Linked DNA regions of Drosophila melanogaster. The protein of the gene in region 1 purifies or fractionates together with the protein of each later gene. This does not show direct contact. Each region holds a gene or a part of one and is shown on either strand. Other genes may lie near its edges.

The links. The genes of interacting proteins can lie anywhere in the genome.
Region 2: the proteins of c(2)M (region 1) and yem purify together in Drosophila melanogaster (affinity purification with western blotting; one study listed by BioGRID). This does not show direct contact.
Region 3: the proteins of c(2)M (region 1) and SMC3 purify together in Drosophila melanogaster (affinity purification with western blotting; 2 studies listed by BioGRID). This does not show direct contact.

Annotation. Positions count from the first base shown.
Region 1 is NT_033779.5:16,299,086-16,306,440, reverse strand, and holds c(2)M (crossover suppressor on 2 of manheim), read right to left. Parts: upstream 3,178-7,355; 5' UTR 3,090-3,177; coding exon 2,959-3,089; intron 2,880-2,958; coding exon 2,716-2,879; intron 2,660-2,715; coding exon 2,379-2,659; intron 2,320-2,378; coding exon 2,136-2,319; intron 2,082-2,135; coding exon 1,697-2,081; intron 1,645-1,696; coding exon 1,337-1,644; intron 1,279-1,336; coding exon 1,144-1,278; intron 1,087-1,143; coding exon 962-1,086; 3' UTR 501-961; downstream 1-500. Other genes in the region: CG5861 (uncharacterized protein), read left to right, coding at 121-482; GMF (glia maturation factor), read left to right, coding at 3,668-3,670, 3,830-3,923, 3,990-4,180, 4,236-4,364; CG17328 (uncharacterized protein), read right to left, coding at 4,833-5,948, 6,005-6,130; heix (heixuedian), read left to right, coding at 7,129-7,355.
Region 2 is NT_033777.3:29,117,830-29,126,140, forward strand, and holds yem (yemanuclein), read right to left. Parts: upstream 5,051-8,311; 5' UTR 4,373-5,050; coding exon 4,133-4,372; intron 4,078-4,132; coding exon 3,856-4,077; intron 3,788-3,855; coding exon 2,968-3,787; intron 2,908-2,967; coding exon 2,760-2,907; intron 2,694-2,759; coding exon 2,454-2,693; intron 2,392-2,453; coding exon 1,053-2,391; coding exon of another isoform or gene 756-1,052; 3' UTR 501-755; downstream 1-500. Other genes in the region: Atg14 (Autophagy-related 14), read left to right, coding at 1-67, 130-284; Ctl2 (choline transporter-like 2), read left to right, coding at 7,585-7,908, 7,978-8,311. UniProt on the Drosophila melanogaster protein: May play a key role in egg organization. May be a transcriptional regulator having a role in chromatin remodeling in concert with Hira, a histone chaperone. Involved in chromosome segregation by affecting kinetochores function in the first meiotic division.
Region 3 is NC_004354.4:16,588,496-16,596,725, forward strand, and holds SMC3 (structural maintenance of chromosomes 3), read right to left. Parts: upstream 4,945-8,230; 5' UTR 4,872-4,944; coding exon 4,857-4,871; intron 4,780-4,856; coding exon 4,665-4,779; intron 4,589-4,664; coding exon 4,449-4,588; intron 4,252-4,448; coding exon 1,132-4,251; intron 1,058-1,131; coding exon 845-1,057; 3' UTR 501-844; downstream 1-500. Other genes in the region: CG13014 (uncharacterized protein), read left to right, coding at 1-311; Ubc7 (ubiquitin conjugating enzyme 7), read left to right, coding at 5,506-5,548, 5,611-5,692, 5,776-6,035, 6,196-6,314; CG9784 (uncharacterized protein), read right to left, coding at 8,221-8,230.

The sequences.
Region 1 (7,355 bases):
TTCAGATATATTAATGTTACAAGAGCCAATGCCTACTCAACCTTTAATACCCCAACCCATATATGTATGACAACTTCCAAAAATTTAGTAAAAACTAAATATTTTCGTATACTTCCGCAGGGGCCACCGCCGAAGTGATTCTTTCCCGAGGTATCATGCTGTGGGTGGGTGCCCGAGGCACCGAGTTCAGTTGGATCTACATCCTCAAGTGTCTGGAATCGAACGTGCTTCTGGTGCAGCACATCACTACGGCCACCCTGATCTGGCTCTTCACCCGTCACGATTTGAACAAGGCATTAAAGCCGCTGGTTAGTCTACTTCTGGCGGTGACTGTCTTCAAAGGCGTCTGGCTGGAGGGCATGCTCCACATTCTGACCATTGGACCTTGGCTAACGGTGGCTGTTAAAGCGCTGGTGGCGGCCGTCATTGGATTCTGCACGCTGCACATCTATTCGGGTCTGGCCCAGCAGATCGGAATTTAAGCAATTGTGCCAAACACTCTGTATTCCTTTGTTTTTGTAACTTGTTTATTTTTTGGTGTTGTCAGAGAAATTGAGATTTTGTAACAAAGACAACAATTACGGTTTAGAGAATTACTCCAAATGTTAATGAATTATAGCTACGATAACGTAATAGTAACAAAGATAACAAACAACTTTTAATGGGTACACGAAACTAATATGATAATGAAAAAAAAACTATTTTTATAGACAGCAACAAGTAACATCTATAGAATTTTTCAATTCTTGAAATGAAACGAATTATCCAGGACATCGTTGCTCAATTGTACCATAAGATTGTATGGAAAAAGAGTAGATTAAAGCCATCTAGGTTAGAGATTGGCTCAACTTATATGTTATAACACAATAGCAATAACAGAAAACAAAACAACAACAAAAATGTGGAAGATTGTCAACTACAAAGTTGTTTGGTAATCTTGAAAAAAATTATCTAAAAATATTCACAGAGTCTCACTCAGCATAAGATTGTCTATTAGCTTAGCGGACTCTTTGCCAAGAGTAATTTGGTACATTTCCAGCGAATTAGCTCGCTTTGATATCTCTATAAAATGGTCTCGAACAAGATCTGAAATTTAAGCTATACGTTATTTCCAACACACATTTTGTTCTTTTTCGAACTCACACAACAAATGGAGAAAGGCTAACGAAGCCTTGATGCGACTATCAAACGTTTTTATAAAATCAATGGCATCGATTCCCGTGATTTTCGGATTATTACGCCAAATGCTTAAGAGACTCATCATTACGCTGTAGGTATCTGCAATGAGATTATATTTTATTTACGATAGCATGTTGTAAACATTGGCTGAACTCACCATCATGATTATCCTCACGGTATATGCCGTGCTCATTCATTTCATTATGATAATTCTGATTTACATCATCACGTGGCTGAAGTTGAGGTTGCACACAGTCTTCCACTTCAAGCGGTTCGGGCTGATAGATATGTGCCGCTTTATCCCTACATTTTGTAGCCTGCGATGGTCGCACAAATATCTCTTTAGAAAGATTCTCGGTAAACTCGCAGCCAAATATGGTTCTCAATGTGTTTTCTGCCTCGAATTCCTTTTCTTCATTACTGAGCTTAGGTCCGGAGTGGTTATGAAGAGCTAAAAAACTTACACTACATCAAAAAATTAAAAAGTTTTAAATAGCAAAATGTATAAGGCTCCTACTTATTATACAGTTTACAGAGAAGTTCCTTAGGGGGTTTCCGTAAATCCGAGGATTTTGGCACTATCACATTCCTTGAAAGGTATTCTTCCATATATTTCTGTCTATGCTTCACCAGCTGCTCCCGGGTGTATTCAATTCGTTTGTCTACTATTAGCTTTCTTTTCCGATTTTTCGGGTGGCTAAATGTTATTTCTCCAAAAGAATTTAAAACGGATGGCAACGACGGTTCACAAACTATCTGAGTTACTTCAGCTGGTTCAATGTTATGCGGAAAGATTTGGGTCATGATAGCATTGTCAGCTTGGAAAACATCGCAATCATCCAATCTGGGCATTTTATCCGGTAAGATGTCAGTTGGATCCTGAGCTATTGAGTGTCGCTTTACTATAATACAAAAAAATAGTTTATTACATTTTCAATTGAATTGAGAATTCTTACGTGAGTTCCGTGTGCCATCTTTGGGGTAAAGCTCTTGAAAAATGGTTAAGTCCGCGCCCTCGGCTTCGCCAAAACCATTTGATGGCATAATTAAGCTATGATCTTCGGGAAGTTCAATCTCTTCGGTGATTGTAATGGAATGATACGACTTTGACTGAGTGCAACTCCGGGGTTGTTCAATAGACTTTTTGCGAAAAATGAAATCATATAAGGAAGCAGTCCAACAGTATATTGACGACTAACCTCGTTCAGGTCCTCCACCACCTGTTGTGTGCACTCCGTTTGCCACATCTGGCATTCGGATAGCATCTTCTCGTAGTATTCATGTGAGAATTCATCCAATAGATCCGATTCCTGCAGTCTGGGACGTTTTGATACTGTTACTTTAGATTTCTTGGTGATCACCCGCTTTCCTTTGCGTTGGATTCGAATCTCTGATTTGTTGACCACTACGGATTTTGTTGTGGTGAGAACGTAATCCAAGTTGGTACGTGTACATTGGTCAAGTAATACCTTCGTGTCCCCTGTAAGAATTCGTGATTATATATCAATGTTACGTAATATTCGGACTAATACTTACCCAAAAGTAGATCCACTTGGCATCTAAAAATATCCGCAACTCCAAAAACCAAGCGGGAAATGTCCTTGAAAATAACATTTTGCCGGTTTCTTGCGGCCAAAACATTGGATCGTTTCTGGCGTTTTCTTAATGCATTTTCCTCAATTAATTCGGTGATTTGCTTGCTGAAATGTAGATAAATGTTGAAAACAATTGAATATAATGAAATGTTAAAAAAATTCATTATATTTAATATTTAATTACCAGCAGGCGACTACATCCACATCAGCGATCTCATTTCGATTAAGTTGGCCAAATGCCGATTTCCTCGGTTTGCGCCCTCCCGCTTTCCAGCAGGAATTAAGGATGTTGCTCTCATATAAATTCAAGCTCATTGTAACTACGACATTAAGCACATAGATTATAGTATTAACTATTTATAAGTTAGTGCTCTCTGTAACAACCCTAAAGTAACGGTACTTTTTTGACAGTCCATCAGCCACTAGAGAGGACAAACATGATCCAAATATCGTATACGAACGATTTTTACCTACTATAAAATAATGATAAGTTTTAAGTATATCTACAAAACATTTTTAAAAAAGAGCGTTCCTATTTCAATCTAAAAAATACATTTCAATTATTTTTAATAAATTCCATAAATAATACCAATGTTGCCGTAAAGAAAAAAGCTTAATGAAAAAAAAACCTTTAGCAAATATTGTTATTATTTTTTAATTTATCAGAAACGTCGTTTAACAACACTTCACATATTTTTGATGCAGCACAGAATATTATTTGGCGTTCAGTGAACGGTCTCACTGCAGGAACAACAAAACAAAACTCAGAATAAACGACAGTATTTAAACGATTCCTTAAGGACAAGTGATATTGCATTCCTACAATTAACTGCCAAAAATTCGGTAGTGCAGCACACTTTACAGATCGCATCCCTAACTTCATAGCTAAAGTTATGGTAGGAAGTGTATATAGGGTCGGAAATCAATTACCAAAATGAAAACATGACTAATAGAGTGTGGGCGTGTTTTTGTTTTTGTTTTTCAATCGACGATTGTTGTTAGCAGATAACTTTGGTGATTCCAATTCATTAATCAATTATATCGATTTCATACAGAGTGATAACCAGATATGCGACATAAGCAACGAAGTTCTGGAGGAATTGAAGAAGTTTCGATTCAGCAAGAGCAAAAATAATGCGGCTTTGATATGTAAGCCTTGATTGTCATGGTAACAGATGTGTGTAGTTTTTATGACCACTCCATTGTCCCTTGCAGTGAAAGTCGACCGGGAGAAGCAAACGGTGGTGCTGGACGAGTTCATCGACGATATTTCGGTGGACGAGCTGCAGGATACATTGCCAGGACACCAGCCCCGATATGTCATCTATACGTATAAAATGGTCCATGACGATCAGCGCATTTCGTACCCAATGTGCTTCATATTCTACACACCCAGGGATAGCCAGGTGGGAGTTTAGCAATGCTCAAATATATTCTATAATTCATAACTCTCTGTTTCAGATCGAATTGCAGATGATGTACGCCTGCACGAAGAGCGCTCTTCAGCGCGAAGTAGATCTCACACGCGTCTACGAGATACGCGAACTAGACGAACTCACCGAGGAGTGGCTGAAAGCCAAGCTCAAGTAGAGAGGTTTCGATCTCTGGGATCAATCAATCCGGGCCGTTGTCAAAAGCAATATTTTATGATAGTTCTCTGATTGATTTTTGAGCTTTTTATATACATATTCAAACTGGATTAAGCCGATACCAACGATGCATACCAATACCAAACAAACCAATATTGAGATACTACAATTTTTACCTACAGAAAACACAAATCAAGCTTAGTTTATACAACAATGACATTTTTATATCGACGACAAGTATGCGACAAGTACGCGCGGGGAGTTTTTAGTGATTTTAGTTCTTGCATTTAAGTAATAATCTTAATAGAAGCTGTGCTTGCCAAATTTCTACATGTATTTATTGTAAAGATATAAAAGCAAACATGACAAAATATTCCATTTTATATAGACAAACTAAATAAAAGTGTTCAATATCAAAACATAATCTAAAACAATAATTATGATTAAGATAAATCTTCGTAGCTATACTCTAATAATGTAGTCTTTGTGCCGCCGTGTGGTGCAGCATAGTGTAACGTCCTTCACTTGGCGTTGGCGGTGGAGGCGGCGGCGGTGCCAACATGTGAGCCATTGCAGCCATTCCCATTTGTGTGGCGGGATTCGGTGGGCCGAGATGATGCAGTGCATCGTGATGGTAGTGATGCGACATAGGTGGTGCAGGAGGCAACGGCAAATTCAGTAGATTATTATTCGCCGCATGCGTGCGAAAATGTAGACTTAGGCTGTCCGCCGTATCAAATGCCTTGTCGCAATCCGGACACTTGAAGTGGGCGTGATCGAGGGTGTCCAGACCCACGGGATCCGTGTCTATAGCCTCATCATCATCATCATCCACTATATCATGGTTTGTACTGGACTCCAGAGGATGAAGCTTCAATTTATGAGTCCGCATATCTCTTCGCCTGCTGAAAGCCTTGCCGCAGACATCGCAGTGATGGTTTTTGATGCCCGTATGGGTTATCATGTGCTTGGAGAGATCACCGGCGGTGTAGAAACCTTTCTGACATAGCGAGCATACCTGATCCCGCACTCCTAAATGAATCTTCTGGTGCGCCTGGAAATTGCCTAACGCGGAAAACTGCTTTGAGCAGATCTCACACTGAAAAGGCTTGTCGCCCGTGTGCGTTCTTTCGTGGACTTTAAGATTGTACTTTTGGGCGAATCTCTGGATACAAAAGCTGCATTGGTAGGGTTTCTCGCCAGTATGTGTTCTTATATGCTGTGTTAATTGGGCAATGCATTTGAAGCTTTTGTGGCACTCGTAGCAGGTGTGGGGCATCTTTGGCACAGGTTTGGGCCCCCGTTTTTTGTGCTCTTCTGGCGGCTTTCTTTGATAGCGCGACCGCCTCTTGCTCACTTTGGCATCCACGGGTTCCTCTTCATCGCTATCGCGCTGCGGAAGCAACGGCTTCTCCACAAAGTCCGTATTGGTGGCCGCATCCTGGCGCCAGGATTCCAGAATGCCCAGATATTGTCGCAGTCGGAGATCACTGTTTTCGCATTCCTGCTTGAAGTGGAAGGCCACCCCCAGCCGGTAAATACAGTTGTTGCAGATCACCGAAGGTAGGCCATCGGTTTTAAAAACCTAAAACAATTTCCATATGCCAATTAACATTGAAATATTTTGTTTTTAGAACCCACTCTTATTTTAGCGCATTGCATCAACATTACGGAGGGCATCATAGCAAAGTCTGTACTATATATCGAAGTTACAGGATGTAGTTCCTCCAGGCAAACTCTGCATATTTTGTGGATATTATAGTCCATGTTTTATTTCAATTTTATAGAAATCAACAAAAAAATTATTGAAAATTTTGCTCTAAACTCCTATCAGCTGATTGGGACCAGGGCTGCAACGGTACAGTCGTAACTCTAGCTTGTGAAACAAATCTATCATATATGATTAAATTTGTTTCGCGTGTTTAAAATGAATTTCATACTCAATGTGGATTCATTTCCGCAAATATGCAAAAGATATAGTAATATTTTGGTGAGCTACTTCAACTACTAATTACGTTGATAAGTGTTGATAACAATGATTACATAAATATTTAAAACCCACCTTTGTTTTACGAATTATATAAAAAATGCACATACATGTACCGCTAAATATTTATTGCATATTATCTGAATTATTTTCATTTATGAAATTTGGGTAAAAACTGTAGGAATAGGCAGGGCTGCACATGCGATACGGCGTTGCCACCTTCAACGAAAAAGTGTAACCTTTTTTCGTTTTTGCGCTGACGTGACGTGACAGTTGATTTGTTTGATTAAAATAACTAAGAGTAAAATCGCAGCCAAATCGATTTGCGCCACTAACCCGGAATCGATAGCCGGAAGCAAAGACGCAGCCGGAAAAGGAGAGGCATATAAGAAGAACGATCCTCGCACCGGTCGAGGAAAAGAGAGAGAGAGAGAGGGGCAGCGAGAGAGAGAGAGCGTGAGAAACTGGGAGCTGCACGGGTGAAATTTCGTGGTTTCGGGACCCCGACCACCTGAGCTCTCCACCCCCCGCTGATAATATACATATCCCCGCATATATTCCCCACTTTCAAGATGCTGTGTATACAATATTAGCGATTATCGAGACCAGGCAGCGCATGTGCCGGCATCCAAAAAGGCACAAATTGAATACTTTAACTATTGTAAACAAATTCTGGAGAGGAGGTGACCAAGGTCAAACAATCCGACGAATACGAATACCTGGCGGCTAGTCTCGTTTCACTCCACCGCAAAGTGCCAGTTAACCAGTGCCGCTTGCCATGGCCACAAGCAGCCAGCTGTTGCCCAATGGCAACTTGTCCAGGAATGGCAAGACCAAGACAGAGGACGGTGAGGAGGTGGAAGCCGTTGTTGGAGCTCGTGCAGCAGGTGCAGATGCCGGAGTAGCACTAACGGGACGACTAACAGGACACCCATCCACATCCGGAACGTTTATGAAACTGAAAACCTATCTCCTAGCTCTGCGTCCCTGGTCGCTGTCCGCCAG
Region 2 (8,311 bases), on another chromosome or scaffold:
CCACTCATGAAGTCAGTGGACTCCCTACTAATCGGCATCGAGACCGCCACGGAATCGGAGTCAGAGGGTGAGTTGGTTTAGCAATTTGAGGGGAATAATCTTTTCAAACTGATGCTGATGCCTTTCCAGACGAAAACTCTCTGCGCATGGACTGGGAGGCGGTGCCCAGCCTGACACCGCAGCCGGAGCTGGCGGATCCCAATCTGATGCCGGCGGCCAACCAGCAGTCTACCATCGCCTTCGTGCGAATGGCGGCCACATCGGTGCTGCGCTGGATCAAATGATCGCAGACCAACAGACGTCCGATCTTTCGGCTATATCATCATGAGACACGCGTGTTATCTTTTACAAATTAGACTAAGTAATCGTTTCTGTGACAGCACGTCGGTGTTTATCGGCAGTTGCTGGTTTTAGCGTTATCCTTTGGTTTACAGAACTAATTTTGTATCAATTATATATATACATATATATTCGCTGTGTGTAAAGAAAATGCGCCTTTTGGATTTATTTCTATTACATAACTTATTCGCCTTTATTTAATAAAAATGGTTCTCTATAAATAAATATATATAAATTTGCTTTATTAATGCTTGCATAGTACACTGACTTAGTAGGTAAACGACTCAATGAGAAACAATAATTAAACTGGTGCAATAATTGGAAAATCGGCAGACACAGCTGCGAATGAAACCTACCTAGAATCAGCACTAGAATCTTAGATTAGAATCGCAAGGGAACGAGCTGAGTGACCCTAGCTAAATGAACTTTGTGGGCAGTTGTTGCGTGGATGGGCGAGCAGCTCCAGTCGTGGTCACCACATCGCCGCCAGCGCTGGGCTGCGGCAGGCTGGGTTTAACGAATACTTGTGGCAGTGTGTTGGCAGAGGCTCCCACCTGGGCGGCGGACATGGAGACGGAGCCGTTGGCCAGCAGGTCGTAGCGCGGCGAGGCGTGGCTCATCGTGGAGAGCACGATGGCGGCGGCCATCGCCTCCTGGTTGTAAAAGGCCGTCACAGCAGCCGGAAGGGGCTGCTGTGCGGCCGATCCCGAATGTCATTGGCGCGTGGGCGTACTGGGCGCTGAGGATCCCATTCCTCCGCTTGCGCCCTTGACGCTGTTCGGCGAGAAAGCCGCTTGAATGAATTGCTTTTCCATTTCCTTCAGATTTGACATAGTTTTCATTATATGCGGATCGGTGAGATCGTACACTGGACCCAGCGTTCTTGGGCTATTGTAGATATACATGTTATTCGCGCTGTAGCCCAGGGATCCATTTACCTGCCCCACCGCACCCAAAGACGACCGACCTCTGTTCTGAGTCTTGTTCTTGGGCTTAGACTGGACTTTCTTTTGGGGCTTAGAGGCAGGAAAAACTCCCACAATCTCAACGCCATCCGACTCGCTGCTGCTTTCCCTGGCTACCGACGTCGTTTGCGCGGCCTTTGAGATGGCGGTGATGACAGTGGTGGTGGCAGCTAGCTGCTTGGACGTCTGAAGTATATCGCTGGTGCATTGATAGTCATCCAGGTTGATCACATGGGGAGAGGGCCGAGCTCCCACAATCACCTTGGCTTGGCCGTCTCCAGAATGCGGACTGGGATTCCCGCTGGCTGCCAGGGAGGCGGCCGTGATCAGATTGTAGAAATTGTTGCTGGTGTTAAGGTCAATTTTCCGGCTAGGGGATGCCAGATCCAGAACCGTACTGGCGGCTGCTACGGCGGCGGCATTGAGTGCTGCTGCCTGAGCCGAGGTGCTCGGCATGGAGAGCAGCGTGTCCAGGTGGGGCAGGTGGTTGTTGTTATTGCTAATGGCTGGTATACTGACGGCCGCCGTGGCAGCCGGCGCCAGCTGGAATTGCGGATGCGGAGTAAGTTGCGGTTGCAGCGGTACCTGCTTAGCCACCTTTTTCTTTGGCGGCTTGCTGGTCTGCTTGGGCATCTCCTTCAGCTTTCGCTTCAGACTGTTGGAGGAGGCACTTGTAGCTGAGTCCGTATCGGAGTTACCTCGAGATCGAGGGTCCTCCACTGCCTTTAGGTAGCTGCTTGCCGGCGGCATTTGCTCAGGAGCAGATACAACTCCAACGGGCTTGGGCGATGCGGACGCCGGCGGTGCCTTTGGCTTCTCCTTTGCTTTCAGCTTGGCGTTCTTGTAGCGTGTTATTTCCCTTTGCAACTCATCCAAACGCATCCAGCCTGGCGGCCACAGTTCCACCACCTTTTCCTTGAGATACCAATTGATGAACTCCTCCAACGATTCCTTGCGCTTGGCTAGGAAAGCGTAGGACGTCCAACGCGCTTGGTACACATCGTACAGCAGATGGCGTAGCTCGCTGGTCCACTGGAACTTCTTACGCGGCATTTTGGGCGGCAGTTCGGAGTTCACGTCCGCAGCTCTGAAAATAATAATCATAATCTAAAGGAACCTAATCGTTATTTCGCTTAACAACAATCTTACGCCTGTTCAGCAAATGTGCGCAGTTCCGTCTCATAGTTGGCCACCGCCTTAGGCATGACCACAGCTACAGCCCGCCGCAGCTTCTCCAGCATAATGGTGGACTTCCTCTTCTCCTCCTTCGCCCGCACTTGTTTCCCTTTGCGCAGCATGTAGTACTTGGGCAGTTGCAGCTGATACTCGATGTGGGAGAAGACCATGTTGCGCTCGTTGCGGTCCGTGCACAGCACCGCCTCGTACACCCTGGTGTAGGTTAATGGATATAAGCCTTAAATCTGTACTTGATGTTTACATCGGCTGCAAACTCACCGAAGCAGTAGTGGCGAAAGCTTCACATCCAGATTAAACTTCTTGCCGCACATGTCTCGACTCTTCACCGCTTCTTTGAAGCTGTTGACTGCGGTCACAATGTCCGCATCCAATGTGGTGGGGAGCAGAGTGTCGGCGGTGCGAAGATCTTAAAAATGAACACGTGAAAGGGTGATTTCAACCAACTAATACTGTATATGTAACTCACTTTCCTGCCCATCCTTGCCATGCTGACCGGCCTGCCTATCTGCCCGGCCGTGCTCAGACTCCATATCGCTGCTATCGCTGCTGGACACGTCGGTGGAAACACACTTCAGCTCGCCGTTGCCGACGCCCTTGACAGCTGCCGTGCCGCTCTGCGACTTCAGGAAGCTGTCTCGCTTGGCCTTTAGCATGTCCTTGACCGTTGTGGTCTTAACCACCTTCTTTAAAGCTTGCGCCTGGGCCTGACTCTGCGGCAGGGACTGAAGCTGACTTGATGGCTGAGTCTGGATAGGGTCTTGGCCGTCTTCCGTGTCCGAAATCTCCACCGTGCTGGGTCGTGGCGAGTTTGAGGATGAGGAAGTGGTGATCGGCTTAGTCGGCGGCTTCTTGCCACTCGTCAAAGAACTTGAGCTTGGTTTGGACTTGCCCGTAACGATGACCTTGGCCCGCTTAGCTTGATGATTGTCTTTGTACTTGCTGCTGGATTTGGCTGTAGCAGCAGAGTCCTCGTCCTCAAGACTTTCACTCTCGGAGTCGTCTTCGGAGTCGCTTTCATCGTTCTCCTCGGAGTCGTCCTCGGAATCGCTCTCGTCGTCCTCCTCATTGTTGCCATCATCGTTTTCGTCATCATCGCCCGAGGATGACGATGAGCTTTCCGAGCTGGACGAGACCATGCGCTTGCGTGATCGCTCTGGCATTTTGATGATGGCATCTGTTCGAGTGGTGTAGGACTTCTTGGTGAGGTTCTTGAACTCCAGTGCGCCACAGTTGATGTAGAAGCCGCCCTCCAGAGTTTCCGCCTCCTCCGGTATGATTTCGTCGTACTGGACAGAACATAGAGTTTAAGGTAAATAATTTCAGTGCATTCGTCGGAAATATTTCTTGTTCTTACGGCTTCCGTGTTGTCGATGAATGAGTCCGACTCATCGTAGCCCATTCCAATGTCCCGGTAGTCGTCCTTTTTGCTCTTCCCCCTGCCTGTGGCATAGGAGTTGCCATACTTGGCCTCCAGCTCCTTGACGATCCGTGCCACATCGTCATCGTTGTCGGCAAAGGGATCAGTGCTTGCGGAGCCATTGGTAGTGCTCACCTGCTTCAGCTTTTTGGTCTTTTTCTACGGATTGCAAGGGTTTAGAAAGCGATCCTCCAACTGAGTTATACACTCTTACCTTTTCCAAATACAAAAGCCGGGAGTAGTTAAACTCGGGATACTTGTTCGAATCGGTCTCGAACAGATCGAGTTTGATGCGGATGCACTTGGCAGTCTTTGTCGTGGGTTTGGAGCTGTTGTCGGGTGCAGCGGACGCAGCATCAGGCTCCAGGATGTTGCTGCCGAAGCGCGAGAAGCCCGCATCGCCCTGGATGATCGAGGTGAGGGTGACGCGCTTGTGCTCGCCCCCCTTTGACATTTCCGGCGGGCAGAGTTACGGATATTCAGTGGGATAGGGTTTCCTTTGAGCCGAAAGGGCCTTCCCGCCCTTTTTTTTCGAAAGAGCCGCGTGTTCTTCGTTGCTCTTTCCCTCTCTCTCTCTCGCAGCCAAACAAAAACAACAGAGACGTCGCTGCTGCTGATGCTCCTCCTCCTCCTTTTCCGCTGCTTCCTCTTCTTCTGGGGATGTCTGTTTTAGGTTTTCTGCACGTACACCAAGCAACCACAACCACTTAATAACCGTGGCAATTTCACTCTGAGCTGCACTTTCTTGTTGTCGCCCCACAAACACTGCTTTATCAACATAAACAAATGGCGAGGACCTGCGCCGGATTGCACTACTTTAATCGCCGCCCGCTTTGCAGCTGCATCCGCCGACCACGGCCACGAATAATTGTCACTTTTCTGGGGGAATGAAAAAGTGGAAACTTTTTGGGGGGTTTCAAATTGGTTGGCTTGCCGGCACGAAAACAACACAGTCTGTAAAAGCAGCGCACCGGGGATTAAACACACGCAATCGACGCTACCAAAGGGGACATTTAAACGATTCGACCAGGCGCTTTTCGCACGGCCAGGAGCGCGATTCTTAAATTGTTTCTTGTTAAAATCCTCAACGCTACATTCTCTCCGCTCCACCCCGCACCAAAGATCCGACCCTGCTTTTGGCTTTCGCACTCGCGTTGCGCAGCACTGGTCGCGGTTTTCGCAAATTACTCCGAGCCGTTCACACTGCGCGCAGCACAAGCCGAGACTTGCTGCGGCTGGCTGCATTTGGCAATATTTAGTTGTTATGGGTGCTATGTATTTCCAAAATTCCGTTAGTTAGAAATTCATTAGCTTGGCATCTAGCTCATTTTTAAAGTAAAGTTTCGAGCTACCAAGTTGATAGGTTACGTAAAATATATAGGTGGCTTATGCTGTTGTAAGCTTAATTGTTTAAAAAGGACCCAAAATCAAAATATAATGTAAACTTTTTTATAACTTACGCGGCTCTAAAACTTTCCAACAAGTAACGAGATCTGGCTTGAAAGCGGCCAACACTCGCACTAGCTTTTGTGCATCCCTGTGCAGTGCCACATTCCACACACATTTCTGCTTTGTTTTGACCAGAACGGGCCGTTGTGCAGCACTGTTCGGCACAGCTGTTCAGAGTATGGGGCCGCGGGTGGTGGGCAGATTTTCTTGGGGCGATTCAGTATTATTTCGATTGTGAAGGAGTTTACTTCGTAGAAAGTCAAGTGCTCGCCGTTTAATTAGCGCAAGTGCAAGTGAGTCGCAGTACGTGAGCTTGGGGGCTTAATTTCATGCGCCCGCTCCACAACAAAAACAAGCGAAACGAAAAGAGTTGCATGCACAGAAATTCGAATTCGGTCGAAACTGCAAGGTGTTATTATAACGGGAATGGCCAGTGCTCGTTATCGGGTGAAAACGATTAGGATTGTGCAATTAACAAAAGTGTGCCGTGCTGCTCTTTTCACAATCCAATCCAACCCAATCCCCAACTCCCCCACCCCCAATCCCCAAGTGGCACCACACAAACACTAGCACATAAACACTTATGCTGCCTTTATGCTTGCAGCCCCACTCGAGCTCTTTTATGTATGTATGTACATATTTATCCAACGAATGCAAGTGACCGACGTCCAAAGAGCAACGTACGGGATACGGAGCTCCGACAAAGGCTTCCCGCTTTCAGTGGTCCGGTGACTTTCGCCGGAGTAGTGACTCCGTCCCAGGAAACCAGCTAAACAAAAAGCCCCCAGCCGCTCGTAAAAAAGTGTCATGAGACAATAAAGGAACTTTAAGAAAGAAAGGAAAAGCGACGAGAAGAGTGGAGCTCCTTTGTTACATCTCTGGAAGAATCGTTCGGCTCCGAAGCAAAGGTGAGTAATACTGCTTCATTACGAAATTACGGGGCCTTGTACATTTGTAGTTCCAAAAAACAACAAGGGGAAATCGTTCATATGGGAAACAAGAGACTACCATTATAAGATAAGATCAGAACTGCGACTGCTTTCTTTTATCTCAAGTGACGTAGTCCAAGGTGAACACAGTAAACACTCGATGCAAGGACAACTTAGGTTTAAACCAGTTTTCTACACTACAAATTATGCAAATGGGTTAGATATCAAAACGAACACCCGTTTTCTTATCATGTCTACAAGTTTCTTTGCAAGAAAAAAAGGTTAGCTACTGAGAGTGTTGCCCGTAGCACTGCTTGAATGATAAACTCTACTCCCAGACATTGAAATTCCTACACCAAAATGGAGTTACGGCAATCGACCTTGAAACATGTGGCCCCAAATGCCTTGCCAACCCAAATTGGTTTCCCATTTTCTATGAAAACTTGTGTGTTTTTTTGGTAATTCATCTATTAAAGGCGGCAGCCAGTTTTTCATCTCAAATGGACAGAAGCCGCACACAAAAATAAAGCGATACACATAAACAATCAAACAACAGCAACAAGTGAGCGCACAAATTTAATTTGCTTTTTAATGCGTCATTATTGCCGATTTGCGACATGCTCGAGCTGCTTTACTGCTACCTCTTCGCAGATTTTCGCATCCCCAAGAGGTTCGTACAGTTGCGATCGCTATCGTTATCAGGGGAGCTCTTAAACCGAATGAGCGATACTTTATTTATTTCTGCTCTCTATTTGCTTTCATGATTAATTAAATGAGTCTGCTGTAGGAGAATGTATTAGCAATAATTATGGATAATTCACCAGCCCATCCAAAGCCATTCTTAAAGTTCATTTATCCAGTAGAAAACTTTGTTACAGAGCTAGGTTCATTGATCATTAAAAGGTTAAACAGTCTTATTCATAAACATAGGAAGAAATATTATTTAATTGTGGTTCAATCCAAAAGGGATCGTTGGCCGCCTGTCGTTGATATAATCAAACCGCACTTTGTCGCCGACAATTTCATTTACTCATCGTACTTTCCCCAACCAAACTAACAAATAAACTAGAACAAAAAGAGCCGCTGGTGGTTGGCTTCACCGCCAACACGACCACCCACTACAGATTCGGTTTTCCATTTTTAAAACAATGACGCATGCACGGAAATAAATTACATGATATACGCCTGACAATCTCATTACCTAGAGACGACGACCCATCGATAGTGGCTCTATGTATATACATACATAAAACACTCGGTTCTTCTTGGACTCTTTCAGTAGAGAGCGATGACGGAAAGCGTGGAGCTGATGAACAAGTACGGCGAGCCACTGCGCTACGACCGGAACTTCACGGGACCGAGGCAGAGGGATCGCAGCTGCACGGATGTGCCCTGCCTGCTGTTATTCGTCCTCTTCCTGGGCGGATGGGCCTTCATAGCCCAATACGCCATCAGGAACGGCGATCTCAACAAACTGCTGGTGCCCACGGACTCCTTTAACCGAAAGTGTGGCATGGACTCCGGAGTGCTGAACAAGAAAAACCTATTCTTTTTCGACTTGAATCAGTGCATCGATCCACTTGTACCCATCACTGGATGTGACACTCCACAGGTGAGATACCATTAACATCAAATTTGCAAGGAGTTGATCTTACTTTTAATGAAATACGTATTTCAACAGGTTTGTGTGGAGACTTGTCCCCGAGAGACGTTCGTCTGGGACACTATGAAGGACAAACAAAGTTTTGCGGAGCTGCATAGTCGCCTCATCTGCTTGTCGGAGGAGCACAAGGCGCAGATTCGCACCAAATCGGACATTCAGGATGCCATTAACCAGAACCAGTGCGCACGCTGGTACATCAAGAGTGCTCCATTCCTCAAACGATGCCTCTTCGAGTTCTCGCAGGGCGTGTGTGATTATATTCCCTCGTTTCTGCTAAATGGGGGAAGGTCGAGGCGGGAGCTGCATATGTTGCCCGGAAACGCCACCACAGAAGTTCAAATGCAGGCCGATG
Region 3 (8,230 bases), on another chromosome or scaffold:
TTGCAGTCACCAGCTTGTGGTTCGGCAACAGTCGCAGTCCACTGGGTGCCACATTCATAAAACTGGATGCCGCGCAATTGGGCCTCTGTGTTCTGTGGAATGTCCACTGTCTTTGGCGCATCGCCATCGTCGACGAGCACTGGTGGTCACTTGGCCTGGCCCTGCTTGTTCTGCTGAATCACTTTGTCCTGTGGCGACTGCCGCTGCACTACAACATCAGCCAATTGGAGGTGGCCACCGTGGGCATGTGCTTTAGCACCATCTTTGCGCTGAATGCCATCCAGGAGCAACTGGACGCTGTGGCCAGCTGAGAGTAGCTGGTCGGGCAACCAGGGACTGGAGCCTTGATTGCCAAGCTCTAAGACACCAACATTTAATTATAAGATGCACGTTGTTGAACAATTTTTTGAGTAATAAACCAGACTTCTTATTTCGAAACAATTATTGCATTGTTATCATACATACATAAAAGTGTGGAATTATATTGGATTAGACGGTTTCCTTTTGCATAAGCTTTTTAATACATATTTTCGTTTTAAATATAGTTTAAATTACTTCTCTATGCGCTTTATTACATATTGATCTGGGCTTGGAGTTTCTATACTCTCGGTTTTGTTCGCCGGCTCGAAGTGTTCCACGCAACGAGCACGGCCTAGCCGAAAACTAACTCTCATTGTTAAGGAAAATTAAATGTAGCAAGTATCGTTAGAAAGAAAACTATATATATATATATGTATACGATTTAAAAGAATGTGAAAACAAATCGTACGCCTACGAAACTAATAATTGGGGCGAGAGATGGTTGTGGTGGGTTGAGGGATGAGGTTTTGGGCGGGGCAATTTCCTAGGCGTGGGTGCTGTCGTCCTCGACGAAGTCCTTGGCCTCCTCCCTGGTCACACAATCAATGTGACTGACCTTATTTCGGAATCGCACGCCGTAGAACTTGTGCGCGTTCTCCAGCAATTCCGGCCGGAACGTTGTCGTAATGAACTGGGCAGTGTCGCTGAGCTCATGGATCATGTTCGCCACCGCCTTTCGATGCATTGCATCCAGCGCCTGCACAAAACATTAGTAGATCATTAGTCAATCAAATAAAGTAATGCGTAATTATAGGTAATGTGACGACTCACCTGATCTATCTCATCAAATAGGTAGAAGGGAGCTGGATCGCACTTTTGGATGGAGAAAATGAGGGCCAGGGCGACAAGCGACTTCTGTCCACCAGACAACTGGTTCATCTCACGCATCTCAGCCTCAACGCCGGTGAACGAAACCCGAATGCCGATCCCTGTGAAAGCATCGGAGTTTTCCACCTCCTTTTCCATTTCGTCGCCTTCGTTGTCCTTGGTCTTCAGGATGAGAAAGCCCGCGCCCATGGGCACCAGCTTCTTAAACACCTTGGTGAAGTTCTGCGCCACTTGTCGGAACGTAAATTGAATGGCCTCCACTTTTTGCATCTCCAATGACTGAATTAGCATGTGGATCTTCTGGTCACCGATGTCGAGCTCCTCTTTGCGGCGATAGAGCTTCTCCTTCTGCTCGGAGAAGCTCAAGAACTGATCCAGGGCTTTCTTGTTCACATGGTTATACTTCTTCAGGTGCTGGTTTGCCTTCTCCAGCTCTTTGAAGATGTTCTTCAGGGACATGCGTGTGTAGGAAGGATCAACTAGCGGCACGGCGCCCAAGCTGGCAATCTTTTCCGTACACTCATCGATTTTTTCGTTGAGCATGTTCTCCTTGGTCGACCATTTCTCCAGCTGCTTGGAATCCTTGTTAAGATTCTCCTCGGCCTCCTTCTCCTTACGCACATGCGTTTCGAGCTCCTGCTGCAGCTCCTTTTGCAGTTGCACAGCCTCCATTACCCGCTTTTCGATCTCCTCCAGATCGGAGTTGACCTTCTTGATTCTCTTTTCGGCGGAAACCAGTTCCGTTTTGCAATTGTTTAGCTTTCGCTTGCGGTCCTCCACGGAAATCTCCTGCAGCGCTTGGATCAGTTCGTCGCGACGCCGGAACAGATTGTTGATCAGCAGGTTGTCTAGCTTGTTCTTGCGCACCTCGAACTGCATACGCTGCGTAAACGCTTCCTTATTCTCCTGGTTCAGTCGACGAATGTCGTCGTTCAGCTGGTCAATCTCACGCTGATCCTGCGACGACAACGTCGACATCAGCTCCTGCTTCAGCTCCGCCTCCAAACTAGATTTCGTACTGGTCATGGACTCCAATGAGGCCTTGCATTGGGCCAGTGAGCGCTCCTTGGGCGCACGATACTGCTCGATGCGCACCAGCTCCTCCTTCATCAGGCGAATCTCGCCCTGCACCTTTTCGAATACATCCTTCGACTTGCCCTGCTTCGTTTCCGTCTTCTGCATCTCGGATACGATTGAGTTGATGTTGTTCTCGGTGGACTTGAGCTCGTTTCGCAGCTTGCTGAGTTTCTTTTCGAATTCAGCTATCTGGCTGGTGTATTCCGTGCGCTTCTTTTGCATCTCAAGACGGGAACGGGATGTATTGAAATAGCCGCCAGTGAGGGATCCCTTGGAGGACACTTGATCTCCGTCCAGCGTAACGCAATCCAGCCCAGTGCTCTTGGCCAGCTCGGTGGCGCGCTCCAAATTTCTGCAGATTAGCGTTTTTCCAAAGATATACCTCAGCGCCTTGTCGTGCTGTTCATCGTACTTCAGTTTGGAGATCATAGGTATGGAGTCGGGATCATCCGGATAATCGTGTATTTTAACCTGAAGTCGATTCAGGGGCATAAAGGTCACCTCGCCCGGTAATTTCAGCTTATTCATCTCCTTGAGGATTTGCGTGCCCTCGTATTCTGACTCCACAATGTGATGGAATAACCGATTGGCGGCTGTTACCTCCACCGCCGTGTAGATGGTCTTGTCGCAGCTGAAGTTCTCAATGACGGGTCCATAGTAGGCTCTCGCAATCTCCGCCGATTGACCGCCACGTTCCACAAAGCTGTCGAGAACCTTGCGCACAGAATCGCAACCGTTCAGGATCGGCTTGCCGGCCATGCTGCGCAGCGCCTGGTCCGCCCGCGATAGCTCCTCCTTGTGCGTCTGCAGCTGCTGCGTCATCTGTGTCTCCTTGCGCCACAACTCGTTTCGCATGGACTGATGCTGGTCCTTGGTCTTCTTAAGCTCGTAGTACTTCTTGTTGTGCTCGTCGATCTGCAGTCGGAGCTGCTCCAGTTCCGATGAGTGCTCCTCGATCTTTTGACCCAGATCCTTTTCGGAGGTAGCGTCCTTCTTCAGATCCTCCACGAGTTTTGCGTGATGAGCGATTTTATCGCGCGTCTGTTTGCTAATTGACTTCAGCTCGTTGGTGATCCATTTGTCGCGATCCTCCCTAGAGGAGAACTGTGAACCGCGACCCTGCTTGGCGTAAAGCTCCTTGCGCTTCTGTTCCTTGAGCTGCAGCTCTCGGGAGCAGTCTTCCTCCTTGCGCTTCATCGCCTCGTATTTGGGCTTTACGTCGTCCAGTTCCTTTTCGCGTTCGGCTATCGTTACCTTAAGGTTCTTAAGCTCCTGGTCAGCCCGCTCCTTGGACTTGTTGTCGCCCTGAACCTCGTCATTTAGATCGACAATGGTTAGGTCTAGTTTCGTTTTCTCGCGCAGTAACTGTTGCTGCTCCGTCATCAGTACGGAGCGCTCCTCCTTTGTGCTCTGCACTTTCTTCTTTGCCTCTTTAAGGTTCTTTTGCACATCCTTGATCTTCTCTTGTGCCTTCTGAATCTCAATGTTGTAGATCTTCTTTTTGTCCGAGGACGACTTGCGCTGCAGCTGGAGCTCGTCGAGAGCCTTCTTGGTGTCCTTCAGCTCGGTTTCGTAGCGTATATACTCTAGCGTGCGGCGCGTCTTGTCCCACTTCTGGTACTCCTTTAGCTCTTCCTTCTCCTCTTCGAGCGTCTGGAGCCGATCCTCGATGGTCTTTAGGTACTCGCTGATTTTCTCCACCTTGCTGTCCGTCTCGCGCAATAGATTTAACGACTCCTCCTTCCGTTCGTCGTAAACACGCGTTCCCGCGACTTCGCGTAGCAGCTTGAGACGATAGGAATCGGCGGCAGTTGCCATCTGATTGATTTTGCCCTGCTTGACAATGTAGTAGGGATTTGAACTGGAAAAACCAGCCGATTCCAGCAGATTGACCACCTCATTGCGCGGCACCACCTTCTTGTTGAGGAAGTACTGGTCCTTTTTGGCGCCAATCACGCGCCGCAGAAAGATCTCTTCTTTGTCGATCTACAAAATAAGCGTAGCGTCAGTTATGAAGTGGCTAGAAATGTTTGCCTATAAGTTTGAATATTATGAGAAGATGCTATGAGCGGGTTGCTTTAGAGGATTTTGAGCGATATGTTACAACCATTGACTACATCTTCCAAGGCAGTAGAGTTCTTGCAAAGACTATGTTTTCTGGGTCACTTGGTTTGACTACTCACTGGAACTCGGTTGTCCGAGTTGTCGAAGATGATCTCCACATAGGCGGAGATGACGCGGGCACCTGTTCCCTCGTGCAGAAGCGACTGACGCTGCTCCGGCCGCAAGTGGGTGAACTCATCGCTTAGCACAAACTGGATGGCTGCAAAGTGGATGGGATAGCATTAGGGTCGATTAAATATGGTTAGCTGAACAGGCAGGCTGGAGCTGATACTAACCGTAGAAGAAGTTGCTCTTCCCGGAGCCATTACGTCCAACAACAACGTTATGGCGCTTGTCGAATGGTTCCACCACCGTCTGGTCCTTGTAACTCTTGAAGCCTTGTATAATAATCTGGAATTAACGGGTGGATTTCAGATCTTCGGTGTCCAATGGGTGGCCAGGAGCATGGCCGTCATTTCAACACTCACCTGCTTGATGTGCATCTTATTATATGCGATTTTTTGCACAAAATCGCGCTCTTTTTGTTTTACAACAAATACATAAATAATATCGACTCGGGCAGCGACTTATCGATGTTTGCGTTTCACTATCGATGTCATCGATATCCCAACTTTGAAAAACACTGGCTTGCAATCGAACCAAAAATTCAAATGATATAAAACAAAAAAATAATTTTAAATTTTACAACTAAAAGTGTCCATCAATAATGGTTTAAGAAGCAAACAAATAATTAATTTAATAAGGTAGTTTGAAGGTGTGAAATACTAAAACAACGATAGCCGACGTTATCGAATCGAATCGATTACTCTTGTTAAATTCACTCAGTACAGATATATTTTTATAGAAAGCCACTCGATTCATTCGATATAAATAAACACGGAACACCGTTTGTGTTTATTATATTACGACGTGTCTGTATTTTGACCCGTGCCCGAGGATCTGGAAAGTTCGCGATTGCCGCCAAAACAAGCAAGGACCCCATTCGGGTGTAGCAGGTGCAGGAGCAGGTGGACAGGAAACGGAGAAGCAGCTGAAGGAAACTCAAAGGAAGTGGTCACAGTGGGGAGAAGGAGCCCGTGAACTGAACCATCATCATTACCATCGAGCGCATTTAGGATGGCTGGGTCCGCACTGCGCCGCCTGATGGCGGAATACAAACGTGAGTCGAAAGTCCACAGGGCAGCAACAGCTTTCCCTTACCACCGCTCCGATCATCTCCAGAGTTAACACTTGACCCGCCCGAGGGCATTGTGGCCGGCCCCATCAGCGAGGACAACTTCTTCGAGTGGGAGGCACTGATTGCGTGAGTTAAGATCCCCGAACGATCGACACGGATCGGACAGATGTGGACAGATTAACCCATTAATTGCACTTTGCCCTTTGCAGCGGACCTGAGGGCACTTGTTTCGAGGGCGGAGTGTTTCCTGCCCGGCTCATCTTTCCGACCGACTATCCTCTGAGTCCGCCTAAAATGAAATTCACTTGTGACATGTTCCATCCCAACATATTCGCCGACGGGCGGGTCTGCATATCAATACTACACGCACCCGGCGACGATCCCATGGGCTACGAGCTATCCGCGGAGCGCTGGAGTCCTGTCCAGAGCGTGGAGAAGATTTTGCTTAGTGTGGTCAGCATGCTGGCGGGTAAGAAAAAAGTCACAATAAAGTCTTAAGGGCAATTCCAACGGGGGTATCTACTTCCAAGTTCATTTGTTCACTAGATTATATGGTTGATCATGCCGATAGTTCACTTCACTTGTTCATTCCTTAAGTTCAAACTGATGTCGTTCATTTTTGCCCACAGAACCCAACGATGAGAGCGGCGCTAATGTGGATGCAGCAATTATGTGGCGCGAACAGAGGGATGAGTTCAACGCCATCGCCCGACGGCTGGTGCGCAAAACTCTTGGTTTACCGGCGTAAATGGATCATGTGCGTCACCGTCAATACTTTCTACCCTGAACAACACGATTCCAACAACTCGCTAACCCATAGTTTTCTCAAAAATCCCTCGTTGAGCTAACCGACACAAGTTTCAAATTAGCAAAAATGAAGAACCTAACGTCAAAATCGACTAACTCAAGTTTATCTAGCACACTGACTGCCTCACCGGACTTAACTGGAGGGCCTATTACCTGAAGTACATCACTGGTAGTTGGACACGAGGCCAGGTGAAGGCGGAGTGAGAAGTTGGCAAGAAAAGTGAAAATTCTAATAATTTCTATTATTAAAGGTTTATTTTTTTTTATATATTTTCACTAGATATAATTTGTATTGATGCTTTATAAAGATGCTGTTTTGAAAAGTTAAATAGAAATTACGATAATTCAAGTGCAAGGGCAATGTATTCGAAGTGATTGAGGCGTTTGATTTGCATTATGCTTTATGTTTGGTTTATATAGTCATTACACACTTAATTCGACTGATCATTAACTGAAATCCAACATGAAATTGTCCTATGTACTCATAAAATACTACACAATTGTAAACGTTTTCATTCGATTAAGTAAATTGATTAATGTTCACTTTGATAAGGCATACGACTGTATGTATGTATATATATATATATATTTATATGTTTATAGGTAGGTGGGTAAATGCACACCCATACACATACATTGGTTAAGTGTCCACTGGTATGAGGGTAATATAGTTATCTAATAGTTGCTGAAGGTTACTAAGCCACACGAATTTCAATTGACCGGGCCCGCATAAATTAATGCTCTCTGTCTTCTTGGTTTTCGGACCATAGATGGGCTCGAAAATGTTTACACCATTCGATCGTTCGAGTACGGTGGGCACCACAGACTTTTACGGCCCACTGTACGTTCCACCAGTTAGTCAGTCAGTCATCAAAACATTGCCAATTAGTGGGAGTGGGCAAGGGCTGCGCCAGTTCGGATTTCCATTGACCCACTGTACGGTGGGTGGGGGAAGTCAATGCAGATTGCTTGAATTTTCTGCTTGGTGGTCTACTTGGGTTGCAGCTATCGTTAAGGTGCAGTTCTTATCTAAACTATCCTTATATAAATTTTATAGATTATATACCAATCAGATAATGGAAAAAACATCGCATGCCGCTTTATAAAAGTCTACGTTTCCGGAGAAAAACCTTTTCTTTTTGTTTAAAACATTAAAAATCTTTCGTAAGTTGAGCTGGTTGGTTTAGAATCATGGTTAAAAAGTTCACTTTTCTCTTTTTTGTTATTCAAAAAATTAAATACAATTTGCCTACATTAAATAGTAGTTAAATGAAGATAAAATTATATTCATACTTTGCTACTCTATTCAATATAATACCTTTTCTCTATATATTTCACTTGAGAGGCATTCAAAAATATCACTTTTCAGACTCCGGTTTCTGCCCATTTTGGCTTAGAGCTCTCACCTGGCTCTCATCAATAAGTTTTTGCCTGTTACTGGCAACAGGGTGTGTCATAGTGTAGATGTGTGACAGTGAATGTGGCGTAATTAACCTTTTGACAAACCGGTTAAATACAAATATCTAGTGCCATGACACCGTACAAATAAAAATAACAAAATGACAGCAGAGCAAATAGAACATATGTATGCAAACGAAAAAGCGGGATTCATTCAGGGCGGGAATAGGTGGAATTGGTAGTAAACACAAATATTATTGGTTCGATAATTATGTATAATTACATATGTATGTATTAACGTATTTTGGAGGGGGGGAGAGGAGAGGAGGCGCTGAGTCAACAGCTAACAAGCAAACTTAACACGGTCACATGAGGTCAATAAAATTAGATCAACACGGCGGTTATGGAAACAGAGACTAAAGAATAAAGATATCCAGAGCCTCGGCTAGCTAGTCAACA